Macaca mulatta: one gene and its partners. The protein of the gene in region 1 interacts with the protein of each later gene in a biochemical or structural test. Links are inferred from orthologs where the notes say so. Each region holds a gene or a part of one and is shown in the gene's direction. Other genes may lie near its edges. The genes, in order: CDKN2A, SERTAD1, TRIP12, E2F1 and CCND2.

Region 1 (4,293 bases):
CATCAGCCTCCCAGTAGCTGGGATCACAGGCATGCACCACCAAGCCCAGCTAATTTTGTATTTTTTAGTAGAGACAGGGTTTCGCCATATTGGTCAGGATTGTCTCGAACTCCTGACCTCAGGTGATCCTCCTGTCTCAGTCTCCCAGAATGCTGGGATTATAGGCGTGAGCCACCGCGTCCAGCCTTTCCTTTTATATAATAGTGATAATTCTATCCAAAGCTTTTTTTTTTTTTTTTTTTTTTTTTTTTTGAATCGGAGTCTCATTCTGTCACCCAGGCTGGAAGGCGGTGGCGCGATCTCGGCTCACGGCAACCTCTACCTCCTGGGTTCCAGCGATTCTCCTGCCTCAGCCTCCTGAGTAGCTGGAATTACACACGTGCGCCACCACGCCCGGCTAAGTTTTGTATTTTTAGTACAGACGGCCAAAGCTGGCCTCGAACTCCTGACCTCAGGTATCTGCCCGCCTCAACTTCCCAAAGTGCTGGGATTACAGGCGTGAACCACCGCGTCCGGCTCCAAAGCATTTTCTTTCTATGCCTCAAAACAAGATTGCAAGCCAATCCTCAAAACGGATAATTCAAGAGCTAACAGGTATTAGTTTAGGATGTGTGGCAGTGTTCTTAAGTCTTATATGTATTAATATACAACAATTCATTTAAACTCACAACACCCCTGTAAAGCAGGGGGTACTCATATTCCCTTCTCCCTTTATAACTAAGAAAAATGCAAAGTATTTTCAGTAGGAAAGAGAAATGTGAGGAGTGTGTAGGAGACAGGACAATGTGTAAAGCGGGTCTTTGGATCACTGTGCAACTCTGCCTCTAGAACACTGAGCACTTTTTCTGGTCTAGGAATTATGACTTTGAGAATGTAGTCCGTCCTTCCAATGACTCCATCTCCATTTTCCTATCTGCCTACAGGCAGAAATCTCCCCCGTATTAAATAAACCTCATCTTTTCAGAGTCTGCTGTTATACCAGGCAATGTACACGTCTGAGAAACCCTTGCCCCAGACAGCCATTTTACACGTAGGAGGGGAAGGGGTGGAGAAGGAGAGGGTAGGCCAACTCTCCAAAAGGAATCCTTTGAACTAGGATTTCTGAGTTAGTGAACCCCGCGCTCTCGAAAATCAAGGGTTGAGGGGGTAGGGGGACACTTTCTAGTCGTACAGGTGATTTCGATTCTCGGTGGGGCTCTCACAACTAGGAAGGAACAGTTTTGCTTTTTCTTATGATTAAAAGAAGAAGCTATACTTTCCCTATGACACCAAACACCCCGATTCAATTTGGCAGTTAGGAAGGTTGTACCGCGCAGGAAGGAAACGGGGCGGGGGGCGGGGGGATTTCTTTTTTTCTTTTTAACTGAGTGAACGCACTCGAACGCGCCTTTGCTGGCAGGCGGGGGAGCGCGGCTGGGAGCAGGGAGGCCGGAGGGCGGTGTTGGGGGCAGGTGAGGAGGAGGAGCCCAGTCCTCCTTCCTTGCCAACGCTGGCTCTGGCGGGGGCTGCTTCCGGCTGGTGCCCCCGGGGGAGGCCCACCCTGGGGCGACTTCAGGGGTGCCACATTCTCTACGTGCTCGGAGTTAATAGCACCTCCTCCAAGCACTCGCGAACGGCGCCCCCCTGCCTGGAAAGATACCGCGATCCCTCCAGAGGAGTTGAGGGACAGAGGCCGAGGGGGCTCTTCCGCCAGCACCGGAGGAACAAAGAGGAGGGGCTGGCTGGTCACCAGAGGGTGGGGCGGCCGCGTGCACTTGGCCGCTGCGGAGAGTGGGAGAGCAGGGAGCGAGCAGCCGGGAGCAGCATGGAGCCTTCGGCGGACTGGCTGGCCACGGCTGCGGCCCGGGGTCGGGTAGAGGAGGTGCGGGCGCTGCTCGAGGCGGGGGCGCTGCCCAACGCACCGAATAGTTACGGTCGGAGGCCGATCCAGGTGGGTGGAGGGTCTGCAGCGGGAGCAGGGGATGGCGGGCGACTCTGGAGGACGAAGTTTGCAGGGGAGTCGGAATCAGGTAGCGCTTTGAGTCTGGAAAAAAGGGCTTCCTGGGGAGTTTTCAGAAGGGGTTTGTAATCACAGACCTCCTGCTGGCGAAGCCCTGGGTGCTTGCGAAGCCAAGGAAGGAATGAGGAGGCACGCGCGTGCCGATCTCTCGAATGCTGTGAAGATCTGAAGGGGGGAACATATTTGTATTAGATGGAAGTATGCTCTATCAGATACAAAACTTACGAAGGTTTGAGATAAAACGGGAGTCTTAAAGAAATGTAAGATGTGCTGGGACTACTTAGCCCCCAATTCACAGATGCCTGGATGGAGTTTATCTTTCTTACTAGTAGGGATTATCAGTGGAAATCTGTGGTGTATGTTGGAATAAATATCGAATATAAATTTCTGATCGAAATTATTCAGAAGCTGCCGGGCGCAGTGCCTCACGCCTTATAATCCCATCACTTTGGGAGCTCAAGGAGCGGGGGGATCACCTAAGAGTTCGAGACCAGCCTGGCCAACAGGTGAAACCCCGCCTCTACTAAAAATACAAAACTTAGCCGGGGGGTGGTGGCAGGCGCCTGTAATCCCAGCTACTCGGGAGGTTGAGGCAGGAGAATCGCTTGAACCCGGGAGGCTGAGGTTGCAGTGAACAGCGAGAGGGAGCCACTTCACTCCAGCCTGGGTGACAGAGTGAGACTGTCGAAAGAAAGAAAGAGAAAGAGAGAGATAAAAAAAAAAAAAAAGCATTCAGAAGCAACTACATATTGTGTTTATTTTTAACTGAGTAGGGCAAATAAATACATGTTTGCTGTAGGAACTTAGGAAATAATGAGCTACATTCATGTGATCGTGCCAGAAGTAATATGTAGTCACCATTTTGGGAATATCTGCTAATATTTTTACTGTTTTGCTATCTTTAGCTTACTTGATAATAGTTTATTTTGTGATAGAGTTTTCAATTCCTCATTTTTGAACAGTGGTGTTTCTCCTCTCCCTACTCCGGTTTTGTGAGGGAGTTAGGGGATGATTTAAAAGTAATTAATGCATGGGTAACTTAGCATCTCTAAAATTTTGCCAACAGCTTGGACCCGGGAATTTGGCTTTGTAGTCCTAAAATATCTTAGAAGAGACCTTATTTGTTTAAAAACAAAAAGGAAAAAGAAAAGTGGATAGTTTTGACAATTTTTAATGGGGAAGGGAGAAGAACATGTAGAAAAGGGGAAGTGTTGTTGGCTTAGAATCCTAACTACACTGGTGTTTAATATAGGAACACTTATTTGTATAATATTTTTAAATGCTAAATTCATATCAATTTATTATCAAATGGGTTTAAGCATCCTACACATTTTAATTCAATGAATTCATTTTCTTTTTGCTTTGGATTTATATCATGATTTAAATATTTACATATGGGTTACTTTTTAGGTTTTTCATTCTATGAAATATAATAAAAACCTTTAAGGCTAGTTTTATGACCAAGACGAAGAGAACTTCAGTGAACACACGGAACAATAAATATGCTGCAACATTTTGTCTTTCTTTTTGTAGCTGCAATTTGGTTTGCTTATACTTTCTCTTTGTCTCTTTGAAAACTAAGTCAGTTTCACTTTCTCAGGACAGCATTTAATAACCATAATATAATTTAGTATAATTCCTTGATTTAGGCAAATTATGCAATTTGTGTTTAGTATGAAATGTACCTAAAAATAAGTAATTCCTCTTTAACACAACCATCCTCAAGCTAATATAACAAATAACAGTTATCCTAAAATAAATTGTTTATTTCCACCATGCAACACTCAAATTTTAAGGTTGCTATGACTGGAGACAGTATTTTAAAATTCCTCTCTGGAAATGGCTTTGTTTCCAAGATGATTTAGGAACCAAAAAGGTGACCATCTCTTGTTTAATGAACTCTCAAATCATAAACCTGGGAAGCCTTTTCGTTTCCTATTGCTGCTGTTACAAATTACCACAAATGTGTTAGCTAAAACAAACAAAATTATTATTTTACAGTACAGTTCTAGAGATCAGAAGTCAAAAATGGGTCCACTTTGGGAAACTCTAAGGGACAATCTGTTTCCTTGTCTTTTCCAGCTTCTAGTGACCATCAAATTCCTTGGCTCATATTCCCTGTATTTTCTCTGTGGCCTGTGCTTCCATTCTTTTATCTTCTCTCTGACTGTGACCCTCTAATAAAAACACTTGGGGTTCTATTGGGCCCACCCTGAAAATTCTGGATAATCTCCCTCAAGACCATTACTTAAATCACATCTGCAAAGCCTCTTTTGCTACATAAGTTAATAAAT
Region 2 (4,290 bases), on another chromosome or scaffold:
TGCCTTGGCCTCCCAAAGTACTGGGATTACAGTTGTTGCCTGGCCAACAACTATCAATTAAATCTAGGTGAGAGAGTATTCAGGTGTGAGCCACTGCATCCAGCCAAGGGAGGAGTATTATACCCTGTCTACCTCTAGCCCCATCCTGCATGTCTATTCATCTTGAACTAAAAGCTTGTCTTATTACAACAGCTATTACTGCTAACAAGGAAACGTGTTGCTAACCAGGCACGGTGGCATGTGCCTGTAGTCCCACCTGCTTGGGGGTCTGAGGCAGGAGGATGGCTTGAACCCTGGAGGTCTAGGCTGTAGTGAGTTGAGATGGCACCCCTACACTCCAACCTGGGTGACAGAGCGAGACCCTGTCTCAAAAACAAAATAAAATAAAATAAAAAGTAAAGAAAAAAAAAAGGCAGCTGGGCGCGGCATCTCAGGGCTCTAATCCCAGTACTCTGAGAGGGCGGATTACCTTAGGTGAGGAATTTGAGATCTGCCTGGCCAACGAGGTGAAAACCCACCTCTACTAAAAATACAAAAATTAGCCGGGTATGGTGGCACACCCCTGTATTCCCAGCTACTCAGGAGGCTGAGGCAGGATGATTGCTTGAACCTGGGAGGCGGAGGTTACAGTGAACTGAGATCGTGCCACTGCACTCCAGCCTGGGCGACGGAGTGAGAATCTGTCTTAAATAAATAAATAAATAAATAAATAAATAAATAAATAAAATGAAAAAACCACAAAACACATTGCACCCCACTCTGAGGATTTTGCATGAATTGTTTTATTTAATCCTTAAAACAATCCTCTAAACTAGGGGCTATTTTCTCTCATGTTAAAGGAGAAAAAGACCCGAAGGGATTAAAACACTTGCCCCAGGTCACACAGCTGCTTAGGGAATGGAGCCCGGGATGTGATTCCGCACTCCCACCTCACTGCCGCCCTTAACCACAATTAAGTCCAACTGTCCAGCATTGCTTGAGTGTGGTATTGTGTTCTTATAGATACGATCCTATTTAAACTTTCTTGTCAAGAGGTATGCAAGACGATCCCCATTTAACTTTGTGTAGCTTGAAGAGGTTGATCATTTTTCCAAGGTCACGCATCGAGTGAGTGGGGAATCAGGAGTCGGAATTTGAACCTGGGCATATCTGTAGTGTAGACCACTGTCGGGGGTGGATGTGTAAGAAGCTTAATTGCCGGGTTTGGCAGGTGCATGGGTAGTTGTGAGGGGCTCGTACTTTGAGAGGCAAAAGCTCCCACTCGCCACCGTCCCCCAGAGTAAAAAGCCACCTCTTTCCACCCCTCACTCGCGCAGCTGCCCGGGCATGCGCCCAGAAGCCCCTCCTTCAGAATCCGCCCTTTACAGGCTCCGCCCATCACCGTAGAGGGCCAATCCCTGGGGCGGAGGGCGGGGCAGCCACGAGAGTGGGCGGTCGCTAAGGGTAGTTAGGAGTCTGGAGTCGTGAGCCGAAGTCAGAACTGCGTCTCGCGACCCAGGCGCCGGTTGCTGGAGGAGAGCGAGCAAGCGATGCTGCCGCTGCCGTTTCCTGATTGGTTGTGGGTGGCTACCTCTTCGTTCTGATTGGCCGCTAGTGAGCAGGGTATGTAAATGAAGGGGCCTGGGAAGAAAAGGGGTACCAGCGGCCGGGTCCTTCACGGAGTTCGATCCCTGGGTCCGACAGGTGCCCGCCGGGGCTGCCCGGGATCGAGACGCGCGGGCCTCTACGTGCTGTCTGCCCCGGCCGGGCCGGGTGAATCACGCCGCAGTCCGAGAAGGGGGCGGAGGCGCCGGCTCCTTGGCTCCGGCTGCGTGACTCACCCGCCCCCGCCGCCGCCGCTTCGGGAGGAGCCGCCTCCACTGCCGGAAGCGAGCGGAGGCCGGGCGCAGAGAACAGCCCGCCTAGGGTCCTGGCTCTCACGGCGCCGGGAGGCCTGCAGGAATCACAGCCGGGCAGTAGAAGGGGTTCTGGGGTCAGAGGGGCCAGAATCCCCAGGGGAAAGCCGGCCTGGGCACCGCCAGGGGGCGCCGGGACTCGGGGGCGGAGTCGGGGGTGGGGGCGGAATTCCTGCGGTTCCGGACTCCACGGACTGCGGGGAAGGGGACGAAGACCCAGTTTTGAGTAGTGTGGTGGGCCACTCTTAAAATCTTGCTAGGCAGGGTCCCGGAACTGGACTCTAAAGTCTTCCTGGCCCAAAAAAGTAGGTAGCGCCAGGGGTCCAAAACTCCATCCAGCCCTACCCCCGCCACTCCAAGAAAAGAGTGGACCCTCAAACTTATCTCAGTGACTGACCCCGGTGCCGATCACGATTTCTCGACAAGCCCTGTCTATTCTGCCTCCCAAAGAAATCCTGACTCGACCGACTTCCTTCCATACCCACTACCAGCTCCTGCTCCAGGCCATCACTATCGTCAGTCCCAAACCAGTACAGCCTACTAGTGGGTCTCAGATCCCCCCTCTTTTTGCCCCCTACAGTATTCCTCGAAGCAGCCATGGGGGGGATCTTCCGGAAACCTAATCAGCTCACACCCCCATTCCCTCCGTGCTCAAATTCCTTTAATGACTGCCCACCACACTCAGGATAAAATCCAAACTCCCTACTAATGCATATGTGGTTTTCTGTGACCTGGCTTGTGCCCATTCCCCCAGCCTCTGGGCTTTTCTTTGCCTTTTTTTGTTGTTCCCTCCTCCCGGAATGCTTTTCCCAGGGTCTCCCATGGCCGACTTCTCTGGCCTGAGGGCTCCATTCAAATGTCACCTCCTTACAGGAGCCTTCTCTGATCATCTAAAAGGTCTCCAGGACCTTTTAGTGTCTTCCTGTAATTCTCCGTACATTTCCTGTGTTTGCTTATTTATTTACTGTTTGAAACGTCATAGTAGACAATAAGTGTTAAACTATGTGAAACTAGTTTAGTATTTATAATATAACTTACTTAGATATAATTATTTATAACGTTATTATAATATATGAAACAGCTGCTTTTGTAGGGGAAAAAGTTGAATGGTCATTCCACATGGTTCACTGAAGAAATAATAATGTTATCATTAAGTGTACTTATTGGCAGGGCATGGCAGCTCACACTTATAATCCCAGTACTTTGGGAGGCTGAGGCGGGAGGATGGCTTAAGGCAAAGAGTTTGAGACCACCCTGGGTAACATAGTAAGACTTTGTCTCTACAAAAAATAAAAGGGGGGAAAAAAAGAGTGTTTATTGATTGAGGGGGGAGGATCACTTCAGGCCAGGGGGTTTGAGACCAGCCTGGGCAATATAGTGAGACCCCATCTCTTTTTTCAGATTAAAAAGTCTATAAATATACTTAAATACAAAATTTAAAATTTAAGGCCGGGCGCGGTGGCTCATGCCTGTAATCCCAGCACTTTGTGAGGCCGAGATGGGTGGATCATGAGGTCAGGAGATCGAGACCATCCTGGCTAACATGGTGAAACCCCATCTTTACTAAAAATACAAAAATTAGCCGGGCGTGGTGGCGGGCGCCTGTAGTCCCAGCTATGTGGGAGGCTGAGGCAGGAGAATGGGGTGAACCCCGGAGGCGGAGCGTGCAGTGAGCCGAGATCGAGCCACTGCACTCCAGCCTGGGCAACAGAGAGAGAGACTGTCTCAAAAAAAAAAAAAAATTTCTTTTAAAGTCTATAGGCTGGGTGTGGTGGCTCACACCTGTAATCCCAGCACTTTGGGAACCAGAGGTGGGCGGATTACTTAAGGTCCAGGAGGTCGAGACCAGGCTGGCCAACATGGTAAAACCCCGCCCCTACTAAAAATATAAAAATTAGCCAGATATGGTGGCGTGCGCCTGCAATCCTAGCTTTTGGGGAGGCTGAGGCACGAGAAACACTTGAACCCGTGAGGCAGAGGTTGCAATGAGCTGAGATCACGGCATTGCACTCCAGCCTGAGCAACAGAGCGAGACTCTATCTCAAAATAATAATAATAATTTATAAATATACATATGCAATTAAATAAAAATTATCTATATCTTTAAAGTTCCCTAGGAAAAGCTAGACACAGAGAGGTTAAGTGACTTGCCCAAGATCCTACCTGTAGCAACTGTCAGATCCAGGCTTTGAACTGAACATTTGTTTTCTATAACTGACTATAACTCCATAACTCCCTGCCCTCTGCAGATGCTGAGCAAGGGTCTGAAGCGGAAACGGGAGGAGGAGGAGGAGAAGGAACCTCTGGCAGTCGACGCCTGGTGGCTGGATCCTGGCCACGCATCGGTGGCACAGGCACCCCCAGCTGTGGCCTCTAGCTCCCTCTTTGACCTCTC
Region 3 (3,512 bases), on another chromosome or scaffold:
ATATGATACTAACAATGCCTTAGAGTTAGACAATATTATTTTTCCATGGAAGACCCCCCCCCACCCCCCTCCCTGCCACCATCACAGTAATTTTCTCACACTGGTTTCCCTGGTCCACAGGAATAAGGGCCCTGTGGCACTTTTTTTCACACAACTAAGTTTGTTCAATATAAAAGGCTCTTGATTTTGAGATTGTTATGTTTTTGGTGTTAAAAAATGCCATTTTCTTTTACGAAATGATGGTGGTATGATTTTTTATTATTTTGCTTGCTATAAGTAAACGGCAACTGTTTTGAGTCCCTCAGATTTATTTTTTTGGTGCCTTTACTTAATGCAGCCTAGTAACAAAGGATTTGCAGACCCTACTTGAAAACCCTCAATCTGTTCAGTCCTAAGCCTTGCATTAAATAACCAAGTCTCTTTTACCAGATTTTTAATTTTGAGGTATTCGTCTCGTTACAAACTGGATATGAAATATCCGGGAAATTTCTCTAACAGTGAACTTAACTTTAAACAGTTTGTTTCTATTCCTCCAGCCATTTTACCGTTTTCTGTTGTTTCTGGTATAAAGGAGAAATGTAGAGGAGCCAGCTTTCCTTCATTATAATGTTTATTTGGGTTTGGGAGGGGAAAGTGAAATTTTTATAAGCCAAGGCATTTTATATGTAAGATAAAATGGGAAGACTGTCAAACTTATCAATACCCTACTAATAGGATTCCAAGCGTTGACTATAACAACGTCCGTTACTCTTTTAGCGATGATAGGACCTTGGCTGCACTGGCTTCACCTTTCTGACTTTGATCAAAACTTACTTTGATCTTTTGTCCTTTAGATGGAGTGTGCCCATCAGTATCAAATCCTTTAGAAGTTTACCTCATTCCCACACCACCTGAAAATATAACATTTGAAGACCCGTCATTAGATGTGATCCTTCTTTTAAGAGTTTTACATGCTATCAGTCGATACTGGTATTACTTGTATGATGTGAGTAACGTTGCCTACTTAAGAAGTTTTCATGGTCTGTGATTGATAAATTTCCTATTGCACTAGAAATGGAAATAGTGATTCAGCTAAATACAGGGATCCTAGCCTAGTAAAGTATAATGTACGCATCAGTGGAAACTTCTCCCCCACTTTTTCTCCCGGTCTAGTCTAAGACTAAAGGCTTAGATTAATTCTCTTGGCAGATTTGTAAAATTTTCTCTAGCAATAAATTTATGAAATTAAGCTACAATATGAAACTTGAACATGGATTTATTATAGTTAAAATTCTTTAGGTACATGTAACGAGAAGTTTATATATCAAGTAAAAGTTGGGTAACAGTTGCATGCTGCCGTTGATATTTATACAGCATAGAGAAGAGTAAAGGAATTGGCCCTGCATGAAACATTAGCTGCAACATCACTGAATGATTGAGCCAGCAGCAGTGGCTGGGGGCGGTGCCCAGCAGTGGCAAGGGGTACATGTGAGGGCTTAACAGTGTATTGTGGGAATTGTTGTTTTAGGTGGGACACAGTAATGAGAGGCTGTGTGTTGTATGTCGGCAACCAGCACTGAATTCAGGGTACTTTGCATGGATTTGGGGATAATGGAAGAGATTGTGAATATAATCCTAATGTTTTACTACATGTAGACTTTTTTTTTTTAAAACATTTTACAGAATGCAATGTGCAAGGAAATTATTCCAACTAGTGAATTTATTAACAGTAAGTTAACAGCAAAAGCAAATAGGCAACTTCAAGATCCTTTAGTAATCATGACAGGAAACATCCCAACATGGCTTACTGAGCTAGGAAAAACCTGGTAAGACAATCACTTCTGTAATGGTGGCCTTGGAAATGTTACTGGGTTGGTCTTGATGTATTTTGTTACAGAAACATTGTCTTTACTGGACCTAGTCAAATGTTTATTAATACCGTTGATCACAACTTGCTTAATTGTGTGGCTTTAGCATGTAAACAGACTAGGCAAGTTTGGGGGCTGGATCTTCTTGGTAGTATGTGTCTTATGTATGAAATAGGAAAGTACACATAGCAGTTTGGCTGAAGATAGTCAAAATTATCTGTTCTCATAAAATTGGATTCCAAAGGTGTAGTTGCTTGATTCTCTGAGCCTGCTTGGGTCAGGGACTCTAGAACTGCAGTGGTAAATGTAAGCCACTGGCCATATACATTTAAATCGGCAGTCCCCAACTCTTTTTGGCACCAGGGACCAGTTTCATGGAAGACAATTTTTCCACAGACATGGACTGGGAGATAGGGCTGGTTTCAGGATGATTCAAGTGCCTCATGAAGGTGGTGGTCATATTTTAAAAATGAGCTTTCATTAGTCATGTTATACTTCCTTCAGGTAGATTAAAGATCTGTCGACTTAAGTGTAGGATTTGAAAAATTAAATATCAGATTCTGCATTGAAAGGCTACTTAATGCACTATTGATCACTTAGAAATTTCATATAAGAAGTATAAAAATTCTTTAAAATTAATTGACCTGGCTGGATGCGGTGGCTGACATCTATAATCCCAGCACTTTGGGAGGCCAAGACAAGTGGATCACCTGAGGTCAGGAGTTCAAGACCAGCCTGACTAACACGGTGAAACCCCGTCTCTACTAAAAAATACAAAAAACTAGCCGGGCGAGGTGGCGGGCGCCTGTAGTCCCAGCTGCTCGGTAGGCTGAGGCAGGAGAATGGCGTAAACCCGGGAAGCAGAGCTTGCAGTGAGCTGAGATCCGGCCACTGCACTCCAGCCTGGGCGACAGAGCGAGACTCCGTCTCAAAAAAAAAAAATACAAAAATTAGCTGGTTGTGGTGTCAGGAGCCCGTACTCCCAGCTACTTGGGGGGCTGAGGCAGGAGAATTGCGTGAGCCTGGGAGGCAGAGGTTGCAGTGAGCCTAGATCACACCACTGCACTCCAGCCTGGGCGATGGGAGCAAGACTCCATCTCAAACTCAATAAACAAATTGACCTAAACAATTTTTACTGATTTTATTTACAATTTTTATTCTATATCATATCAAAAGTTGTTTCTAATATAAGTTTGGATTTTTTTTTTTTTTAGTAGTTTCTAATTCTCATCCAGATAATAAACTTACATTGCATCTTTTTACAGCCCATTTTTCTTTCCTTTTGATACCCGGCAAATGCTTTTTTATGTAACTGCATTTGATCGGGACCGAGCAATGCAAAGATTACTTGATACCAACCCAGAAATCAACCAGTCTGATTCTCAAGATAGCAGAGTTGCACCTAGATTGGATAGAAAAAAAGTAAGTTTCTCCCCGAAATCTTTAAATAATCTGAGCTTTTCAAAATAATGGGAAAACTAGAAATGTAGTATATCTAAATATGCATGTTGGTCGTGGAGGCCTTGGTCCTAGTCAGCTAGCCCTATTTTCCTTTCAGTCTCTTGGAACTGGGCTATCTGTGATTCTTCCTTATCCTTCGTTAAGAGTTTCTCTCCTCCCCACCCGCCAGTTTCTGAAATAATTTCTACAATTCTCTTTGCTCTT
Region 4 (4,126 bases), on another chromosome or scaffold:
TAGGAAAAAAAAATAAGATACTGGCTTTTCTAATTCCCTAAGTGTCGGGGGAAAAAAAGAAAGAAAGAAATAAAAGAAAGAAAGAGAAAAACATCACCTGGAATGGCGACACGACATTGTTAAAATGCAGATTCCTGGGCACCTAGAGATTTCAAATTGGCAAGGCCAGGGTGGGCCCAAAATTAGCAAGTGACCACGTGGTTCTGAAGCCAGTGGCCTAAGGACCACCCTTGCAGAACCATAGTCTCCTTGTCACAGTCTAAGCAGCCTCTGGCTTAGCGTCTGTTTCTTTCATAACCTTTCTCAGCGCCTGCTCTCGGTCAGACCAGTGATGGGAGGAGTCGCTACTGAGCTCCTAGATTGGTAGGGGAGGCAGATGGAGAAAAGGAGTGTGTGGTCAGCATTGGAACAGAGGCAGCAGTGGGCAATAGAGGAAGCGAGTAAATCCTTGGGAGGGCTCCCCAGAAGTGATGTGTTTTGTTTTTGCGACAGGATCTCGCTCTGTCACCCAAGCTGGAGTGCAGTAGCATGATCATAGCTCACTGCAGACTCGACTTCTCGGGCTCAAGCAATCCTCCCAGCTCAGCCTCCCAAGTAGCTGGGACTACAGGCACGCGCCACCATGCCTGGCTAATTTTTGTATTTTTTGTAGAGACGGGTTTTCACCATGTTGCTCAGGCTGGTCTCAAACTCCTGGACTCAAGCGATCCACCCCGCCCTCTGATTACAGGGATTCCAGGCGTGAACCACCGCGCCCAGACGACGCTTCATGTTATTGTAAACGTTTGTTACCTTTCTGTTCCCGTCTACTAGACTGTGAGCTCCTCAGGGCCACGAGTTAAGGATGGGGCAGATTTAAGGATGAGGCACAGAGCAGGCTCTTCAAACGTTTGTTGAATGAGTGAGGGAATGAATGAGTTCAGGCCGACGCTTTACGTTGGCTGTTGGAGATTTTGGCTAAAATGGGACTTGCAGGAAAGCTTGACGTCCCCCCGCCATTTCTAGCCACCGCTCTTCAGCTTGGGCTCTGGGTGAGCGGGATAGGGCCGGGTGCAGGATTAGGATAATGTCATGGGTGAGGCAAGTTGAGGATGGAAGAGGTGGCTGATGGCTGGGCTGTGGAACTGATGATCCCGAAAAAAAGAGGGGGCAGTCTCTGGAAATCTAAGCTGAGGCTGTGGAAGGCTACAGGTTGAGGGTCACGTGCAGAACAGAGGCTCTGTTCTGAACCTGCACTATAGAAAGGGCAGTGGGATGCGGGAGCATCGGGGCGGGGCAGGGCGGGGCCCGTGTTCCCGTGTCCCCACGCCTCCAACAGGGGACGCCCGGGCTGGGGGCGGAGAGTCAGACCGCGCCTGGCACCATCCGGACAAAGCCTGCGCGCGCCCCGCCCCGTCATTGGCCGTACCGCCCCGCGCCGCCGCCCCATCCCGCCCCTCGCCGCCGGGTCCGGCGCGCTAAAGCCAATAGGAGCCGCCGCCGTCGTTCTCGTCACGGCCCGGGCAGCCAATTGTGGCGGCGCTCGGCGGCTCGTGGCTCTTTCGCGGCAAAAAGGATTTGGCGCGTAAAAGTGGCCGGGACTTTGCAGGCAGCGGCGGCCGGGGGCGGAGCGGGATCGAGCCCTCGCCGGGGCCTGCCGCCATGGGCCCGCGCCGCCGCCGCCGCCTGTCACCTGGGCCGCGCGGGCCGTGAGCGTCATGGCCTTGGCCGGGGCCCCTGCGGGCGGCCCATGCGCGCCGGCGCTGGAGGCCCTGCTCGGGGCCGGCGCGCTGCGGCTGCTCGACTCCTCGCAGATCGTCATCATCTCTGCCGCGCAGGACGCCAGCGCCCCGCCGGCTCCCACCGGCCCCGCGGCGCCAGCCGCCGGCCCCTGCGACCCTGACCTGCTGCTCTTCGCCACACCGCAGGCGCCCCGGCCCACACCCAGTGCGCCGCGCCCCGCGCTCGGCCGCCCGCCGGTACGGACCCCAGGGACGACGCGCCGACAGCGCCTCCTGTGCCCCCCGCGCAGACCCGGGAGGGCGCCGTGTTTGGCCTGAAGGCGGCAGGGGGCGGGGGAGGGGTTGACTGAGGCGCCCAGGCTGGGCGGTGCAGAGCCGGGGTTGGGCCTGCGGGCCCCGCCCTGGGGTGCGGGGTGACCTCGGGCCGGTCCCTGTTTGCTCCTCTGTGCTCTGGGCCTCAGCTTCCTCACTGGAGGCTCCGCAGCGTCAGACTCAGTGATAATAATAACCCACGTGTATTCAACTGGCGTTTACTGCATGCCAGGCCTTCGGCCGACTTCAAGTCAGCTAAAACTCACAACCCCGCTGTGAGCTGTGTTGTCACTGTGCCCATCTGACGGAGGAAGAACTGAGGCCCAGAGAGGGGAAGTGACTTGCCCCTGGTCATACGGCTGCAGGTGGTGGGGCTGGGATTTGAACTGAGGCCTGCTGGCTTCAGCTCAGAATTTGCATCTCGGTAGTGAGCACAGCTGCTAGGGGAAGTGAAGGCGGGGCGGAGGAAGGTCCTGGGGCCTAACCGTTGGTGAGCCATTGAGGAGACCCTCCTTCTGCCTCGATGCTGACTGCCAGGTGCAGGCCTGGCTGGCCAGGCCTCTGGGGACAGCCCTCCTGGCTGGGAGGCCTTCTCTGCAGGGGCGGGGCAGCTGGACCAGCTGCAGGTCCCCTCCCTCTGCCTGTCCTTCCATCTGCCACCCTCCACCCTCCCAGGCCCTGGTTGCCATGGAACCTCATTAATCAGGCAGGCCGACCCCTGAGTCTCTGTAGAAGGACTAGGTGGGCTGGGCCTCTGGGAGCTGGAGAGGCCCCCAGTGCCAGGAGAGAAAATGTCCCAGGGAGATCCTTTAATAAAGTCCTCCCTGATCGCTGAGCTCAAGACCTGTTCAGACTGGGGGGCCCAGAAGAGGCGGCTGAATTACAGTGGGAGAAGGGATTGGAGGTGTAGAGCTGGGACCTGTGGGGCGCAGGGCAGGGTGTGGAGACCAGTTTGACTGGCGCAGCCTATGGGTGAAGGTGGGGCTCTGGTGTGCAGGCGGGGCCTGGCCAGGCTGGATGGGGTCTCAGCAGGGAGCTTGAAGCAAGTGGGAGGGGTGAGGCAGGACTCAGGACAAGGAGGTAGAAGCTGCCTAACTGCTGATGGGGGTGTGGGTGGCAGCTGGTCCCTGAGGCATCCTGAGGAGGCTCCCCCAACCCCCTTGGCCCCATGCCCAATGCTGCCTTCCGGAATCACCACAATGCTAATAATAATAACAATAGCAGCCACCATTGTTTTGAGGATGTCTTGTGTGCCAGGCTCTGTGCCAAGCACTTTACCTAATTAACTCATTTAACCCTATCAGCAGCAGTCCCTTTTTACAGATTGGGAAGCTGAGGCCTAGAGATGTTAGAATCTTCCCATGTCATTCTGCTCTTGAGTGGGGAGACCAGTCTGCATTTTCTGTGAGGTTGACCTCTGGGACGCCTTGCTTCCTAGAGATGCTGATAGAGGTTGGAGAAAGGGCAGGAAGGGCTTTTAGGGGCCCTTCCTCTTAATGAGTGGGTGGGAGGGGTTTGTACCAGGGGTGGACCAGGTGGCCTGTCTCCTGTACTCCAGGGACCTGTCCCTGTGGGTACCGCTTGGGACCTGGGCAAGCATCTTCCATTCAGTTGTGTGACAAGCATATAGCAGGCTCAGGTCTGCAGAAACCTAACAGAACCCGAGGGTCTTGTCCTCAAGTAACTGAACAGGATTATGGGTTCTAGGATCAAAGGGAGGGACAGGGGCAAAGAAAAATGCCCTCCGCGCCACCTGTCAGGGGCAGGCTCATTGGCTTGGGCACTGCATTCATTCAACGGTTGTTGAATTAGTGAATGCCCAGGAGGCACTAGGCACAGAGACAAGGAGCCCCGGCTCCCAGAATACGTAAGGGCCAGGAGGCTAGCACCATTCTGGAGCTGAAGTCCAGAAAGTCCACAGGTTCGGCTTTTGGCCTCTCTGCACTGGCATTTGTCTGGGGCAGTCCTTGAAATAAGCTACAGGCTTAGCTTCTATACTAGCAGGCATTCGTTGAACACCTGTATATAACGCTCTGTGCGATTTGGCCATTCCTCTTGGCCCTGCCTGTCCACTTCCACAAACTCAAGTATTA
Region 5 (3,512 bases), on another chromosome or scaffold:
GCTCCCACCCGGGCCTTTGTGGGCCCAGGGCCATGGGCCGGCTGCCCCGCTTGTGTTATGAATGTCACAGGGGGGAGCTAACGAGGTTATTGGGCAGAGAAGCACTCTCCTGTGACCCATGTGGAAGGGACCTACAGCAGAGCAAGAGGCAGGGAGGCCGGCTTTGTCACACTGTCCGTGGCGACAGAGAAGATGAGAAGGCATAGGAGGGGCAGGTGGACAGCAGGCGTGGGCGTAGCACCATTATATACGTCCCTCAAGAGGTGGAGATGGTGAGAGGGCGATGGGAAAAAAAGCCAAGGAGACAGGCAGATGGCCAGGTTTGCTCTGCGTTCGTGATGGGAGGGGAGGGCTATGCTTGGCTCAGGGATCCACAGTGTCTAACTTGATGCTGGGGCAATGGGCCCACCATTAAAACAGCTGCTGTAGAAAATGCGTTTGTAATAGAGCGTGTATAGGAAGAAGGGGAGATATGAGAGGGGCTGGTTTTGTAGGTTTAACCTGATTATTTTTGCTATACGTTGAAGGGTGACCCACGGTTCCCTGTATGCTCTGTCTCCTGCCCCCACGTGCCCCTTCCATGTCTACACACAGTAAGTTCACTAGAGCAATGCTAAAACTGGGAAGAGTACGCTTTGGAAGACTTACTGCACTCCAGGACCGTCACTGGGGTGATGACTGAAACTATACCCACTCTAATGTCATGTCAACGTGAGCAGGGGCAACTTGAACTCTCAGAAGTCTCAGGGGTCTCACCCATACCATTAGGGTGACGCTCTTGTGCACTGTCTGTGGCTGATGGGTGAATTAAACAGGACGTAACGTGTAGCGTATTGCATATGGTGGTCATTGGTAGCTGTCGGCAGCAGTAACAGGAGGAAGTTGGCTGTCTTTATTTCCCCTTGGTGGACCAAGCAGCTGCTGGATCATAGCCACGCAGCCCCTGGGGTCTGGTCTTTCAAGAGGAGCCCTGCAGCACACGGGAGCATCCTCTGTATTTGCTGTCAGAAATGGCAGTGGATGGGGTTCAAGCCCTCTGATTTATTATCCTCATTCTGCACTTCTCTGTAGCAAGTCACATTTTTTTCTCTTAGTAATAAGATGGGGACTTCAGGCTCATGAGTCATAATATGGAAACCAAGTCACCCGTCTGATTCAGATGCAATGATTAATCTTTGGTGCTTAGTTAGAGCCCTATGTTGGGGTTAGAATCCTCTGCCCTAATGTTCTGAGGGTTCTTGCTGTTGGGCCAGAGGTTGGGAACTGGGTGGAATTCAGCCCCGACTCGCCCACTTGCTGCATTGCTGCTTCTCTCATTTCCTTTTTTAAATCGAATCTTTTTTTTGGGGGGGGTCATATTAATCCTTGATGCCTGTCCAGAGACTATAGCAAGATCCCATCTGAATTAGCATTCTGCATAGATTTTGCCCGTTTCTCCCACCTCCTTGTCCTTTCCCTCCTTCTCACATCTGGAACCCCCGGTCTGTCCTGCTTGCATGGCCCATGGGGTACCTTATCTACACTGGTCTCAGGCATTCTCTGCTCTGTTCCCACCATCACCTCCAGAGACCATGACTCGCTCACCTTGCTGCCCCCACCAGGGTCAAGAATGTTACCTCGCACATGCTTAATATGACTGGCATTTGGGGATTGGGGACCTTGAATCCTCTGTGCATTCATTGTGTGCACTTACATAAGCTGCCTTCCTTCCCTGCCTCAGTCTCCTCCATTTAAATCTGGAACAGCCACGGTGATGGTAAATAAACACAGGCTTCTTGTGAAAGAACTCGAGGGAGGACATGCCTGTAGGGCACGGGGGTCACTCGTGCAGCTGACCCGCTGCCATCCTGTTTCTGAGTCTCTGCAGCGTCAGGGAGCTCCAGGATCCGAATGCGTTCTGTGGCCTGACCTTCTGCCTCTCATTCCTTGCAGACTTTAAGTTTGCCATGTACCCACCATCGATGATCGCAACTGGAAGTGTGGGAGCAGCCATCTGCGGGCTCCAGCAGGATGAGGAAGTGAGCTCGCTCACTTGTGATGCCCTGACTGAGCTGCTGGCTAAGATCACCAACACAGACGTGGTAGGTGGCCACCACCTTCTTGGCTAAGTCCAGATGTCTCTTCTCAGCTCAGGGAAAGAGACGTCGGATTTGATGATGTTGTGTCAGAGGTATTTTTTTGGTGTGTTTTCTAAGATCGACATCAAGGGAGTACAAAGTTCAGCAGGTGACACGCCCTCTTAAGGTTCTGAAAAGCTGTGCACCACAAAATACAGAAGAAAATTCAGCAAGCAGATGCGGGGGGCAGGGGGCGGGAGGGCTGTTTACCGACGTTCCTCTATGGCGTGGGCTTCCCAGTGGGTCTGAGTTGTTGCTTCATTGCCATATTTGTACACGCTGCCGGGCTGCCTCTGCCCAGCAGTGAAGAGCCGCCGTGTCTGCTCACACACGCTGAGGCTGTAAGGCGCACAGAGGAGAAAGGAGAGCCAGGACTCAGCTGCAGTGGACGGAGCAGACACACAAGAGGTGCCCCACTGTGAGAACGGTGTCCGCCCCTGGCAAACCTCTCGACCCCTCCCCGCTCTCTCTTCCCTTTTGTTCAATGCAGTAATGGATGACAAAGTGCTTTCAAAAGACAAAAGTGCCATACAAACTCAAGAAACTATTATTAGCTATGGAGCTTCCCCATTCTGTGTGCCCTGTGGACGGCTCAGAGGCTGTTACTTCCTGTTGCCAGAATTCGGAGTTCCTGAGAAGAAAGGTTTTGAGAGAGACCAGGGTCAAGTGAGACTCCGAATTGAATTGGTAGGAAGCTGCAGTCCTAGGGCGTTGGAGCCAGGACGGTGCTGAGAGGTCAGAGAAGCAGTTCCTTATTTTCCACGGGCAGGGCAGGGGTTGAAGTAACCAGCCAGGAGGGGCTGGGCAGTGGCTGAGCTGGGACTAGAACCCCCAAGCTCCGACTGCCCCCTGGAAACTTTCCACTCCACCCTTGCTGCCGCTCCTGGGATCTTTTGGTTTGAAAAAAACCCTTGGGTTTAAAGTCAACCCGAGAGAGGGTTGTTGGCCCTGAGCCCTCATGCATCACCATGGAGAGGCTGAAGAATGCTGGGCACTTCACGATGACACCCTCTGGATGGTCCGGGGGGATTCAGATGCCCTCTGTGGGCTTTTATTGAGTTAAGGGATCATGTGATTTACAGGCCTATGGCTGAGGCCTGCACAAGGGCTACTGAACAGATTAAACTTCACAGAGCCCACGGCTGCAGCTCCCTGGCTTCCTCTCCCGCCCACCTGGATTTTTCCTGGCGTTTGTTCCTCGCTCAGAGAAATGGCGCGGGGAGATGCTGACCGAGCAAATCCGGGATCCTCCTCCGAGATAGTTCTTAGATATGGTTTTAAAATGCGGGCTCCAAACATAACGCTTTTTAAACGAGGGCTCCAAAACGCAGACTGAAGAGCTCCCTCCGGTGCAGCATGAAGAATGCTTTTCTAATCCTCCAGAGGAAAATCGTG

The links.
Region 2: the proteins of CDKN2A (region 1) and SERTAD1 form a complex in vitro, tested with the Homo sapiens proteins (2 studies listed by BioGRID). The link is inferred for Macaca mulatta from reciprocal best matches to the Homo sapiens genes CDKN2A and SERTAD1.
Region 3: the proteins of CDKN2A (region 1) and TRIP12 form a complex in vitro, tested with the Homo sapiens proteins (2 studies listed by BioGRID). The link is inferred for Macaca mulatta from reciprocal best matches to the Homo sapiens genes CDKN2A and TRIP12.
Region 4: the proteins of CDKN2A (region 1) and E2F1 form a complex in vitro, tested with the Homo sapiens proteins (2 studies listed by BioGRID). The link is inferred for Macaca mulatta from reciprocal best matches to the Homo sapiens genes CDKN2A and E2F1.
Region 5: the proteins of CDKN2A (region 1) and CCND2 form a complex in vitro, tested with the Homo sapiens proteins (2 studies listed by BioGRID). The link is inferred for Macaca mulatta from reciprocal best matches to the Homo sapiens genes CDKN2A and CCND2.

The regions. Positions count from the first base shown.
Region 1 is NC_133420.1:77,239,029-77,243,321, forward strand, and holds the start of CDKN2A (cyclin-dependent kinase inhibitor 2A), read left to right. Parts: upstream 1-1,486; 5' UTR 1,487-1,804; coding exon 1,805-1,930; intron 1,931-4,293. UniProt on the Homo sapiens protein: Acts as a negative regulator of the proliferation of normal cells by interacting strongly with CDK4 and CDK6. This inhibits their ability to interact with cyclins D and to phosphorylate the retinoblastoma protein.
Region 2 is NC_133424.1:51,532,118-51,536,407, reverse strand, and holds the start of SERTAD1 (SERTA domain-containing protein 1), read left to right. Parts: upstream 1-1,488; 5' UTR 1,489-1,602; intron 1,603-4,144; coding exon 4,145-4,290. UniProt on the Homo sapiens protein: Acts at E2F-responsive promoters as coregulator to integrate signals provided by PHD- and/or bromodomain-containing transcription factors. Stimulates E2F1/TFDP1 transcriptional activity.
Region 3 is NC_133417.1:135,054,127-135,057,638, reverse strand, and holds part of TRIP12 (E3 ubiquitin-protein ligase TRIP12), read left to right. Parts: intron 1-833; coding exon 834-985; intron 986-1,662; coding exon 1,663-1,805; intron 1,806-3,112; coding exon 3,113-3,269; intron 3,270-3,512. UniProt on the Homo sapiens protein: E3 ubiquitin-protein ligase involved in ubiquitin fusion degradation (UFD) pathway and regulation of DNA repair.
Region 4 is NC_133415.1:86,457,669-86,461,794, reverse strand, and holds the start of E2F1 (transcription factor E2F1), read left to right. Parts: upstream 1-1,323; 5' UTR 1,324-1,697; coding exon 1,698-1,958; intron 1,959-4,126. UniProt on the Homo sapiens protein: Transcription activator that binds DNA cooperatively with DP proteins through the E2 recognition site, 5'-TTTC[CG]CGC-3' found in the promoter region of a number of genes whose products are involved in cell cycle regulation or in DNA replication.
Region 5 is NC_133416.1:5,182,137-5,185,648, forward strand, and holds part of CCND2 (G1/S-specific cyclin-D2), read left to right. Parts: intron 1-1,932; coding exon 1,933-2,081; intron 2,082-3,512. UniProt on the Homo sapiens protein: Regulatory component of the cyclin D2-CDK4 (DC) complex that phosphorylates and inhibits members of the retinoblastoma (RB) protein family including RB1 and regulates the cell-cycle during G(1)/S transition.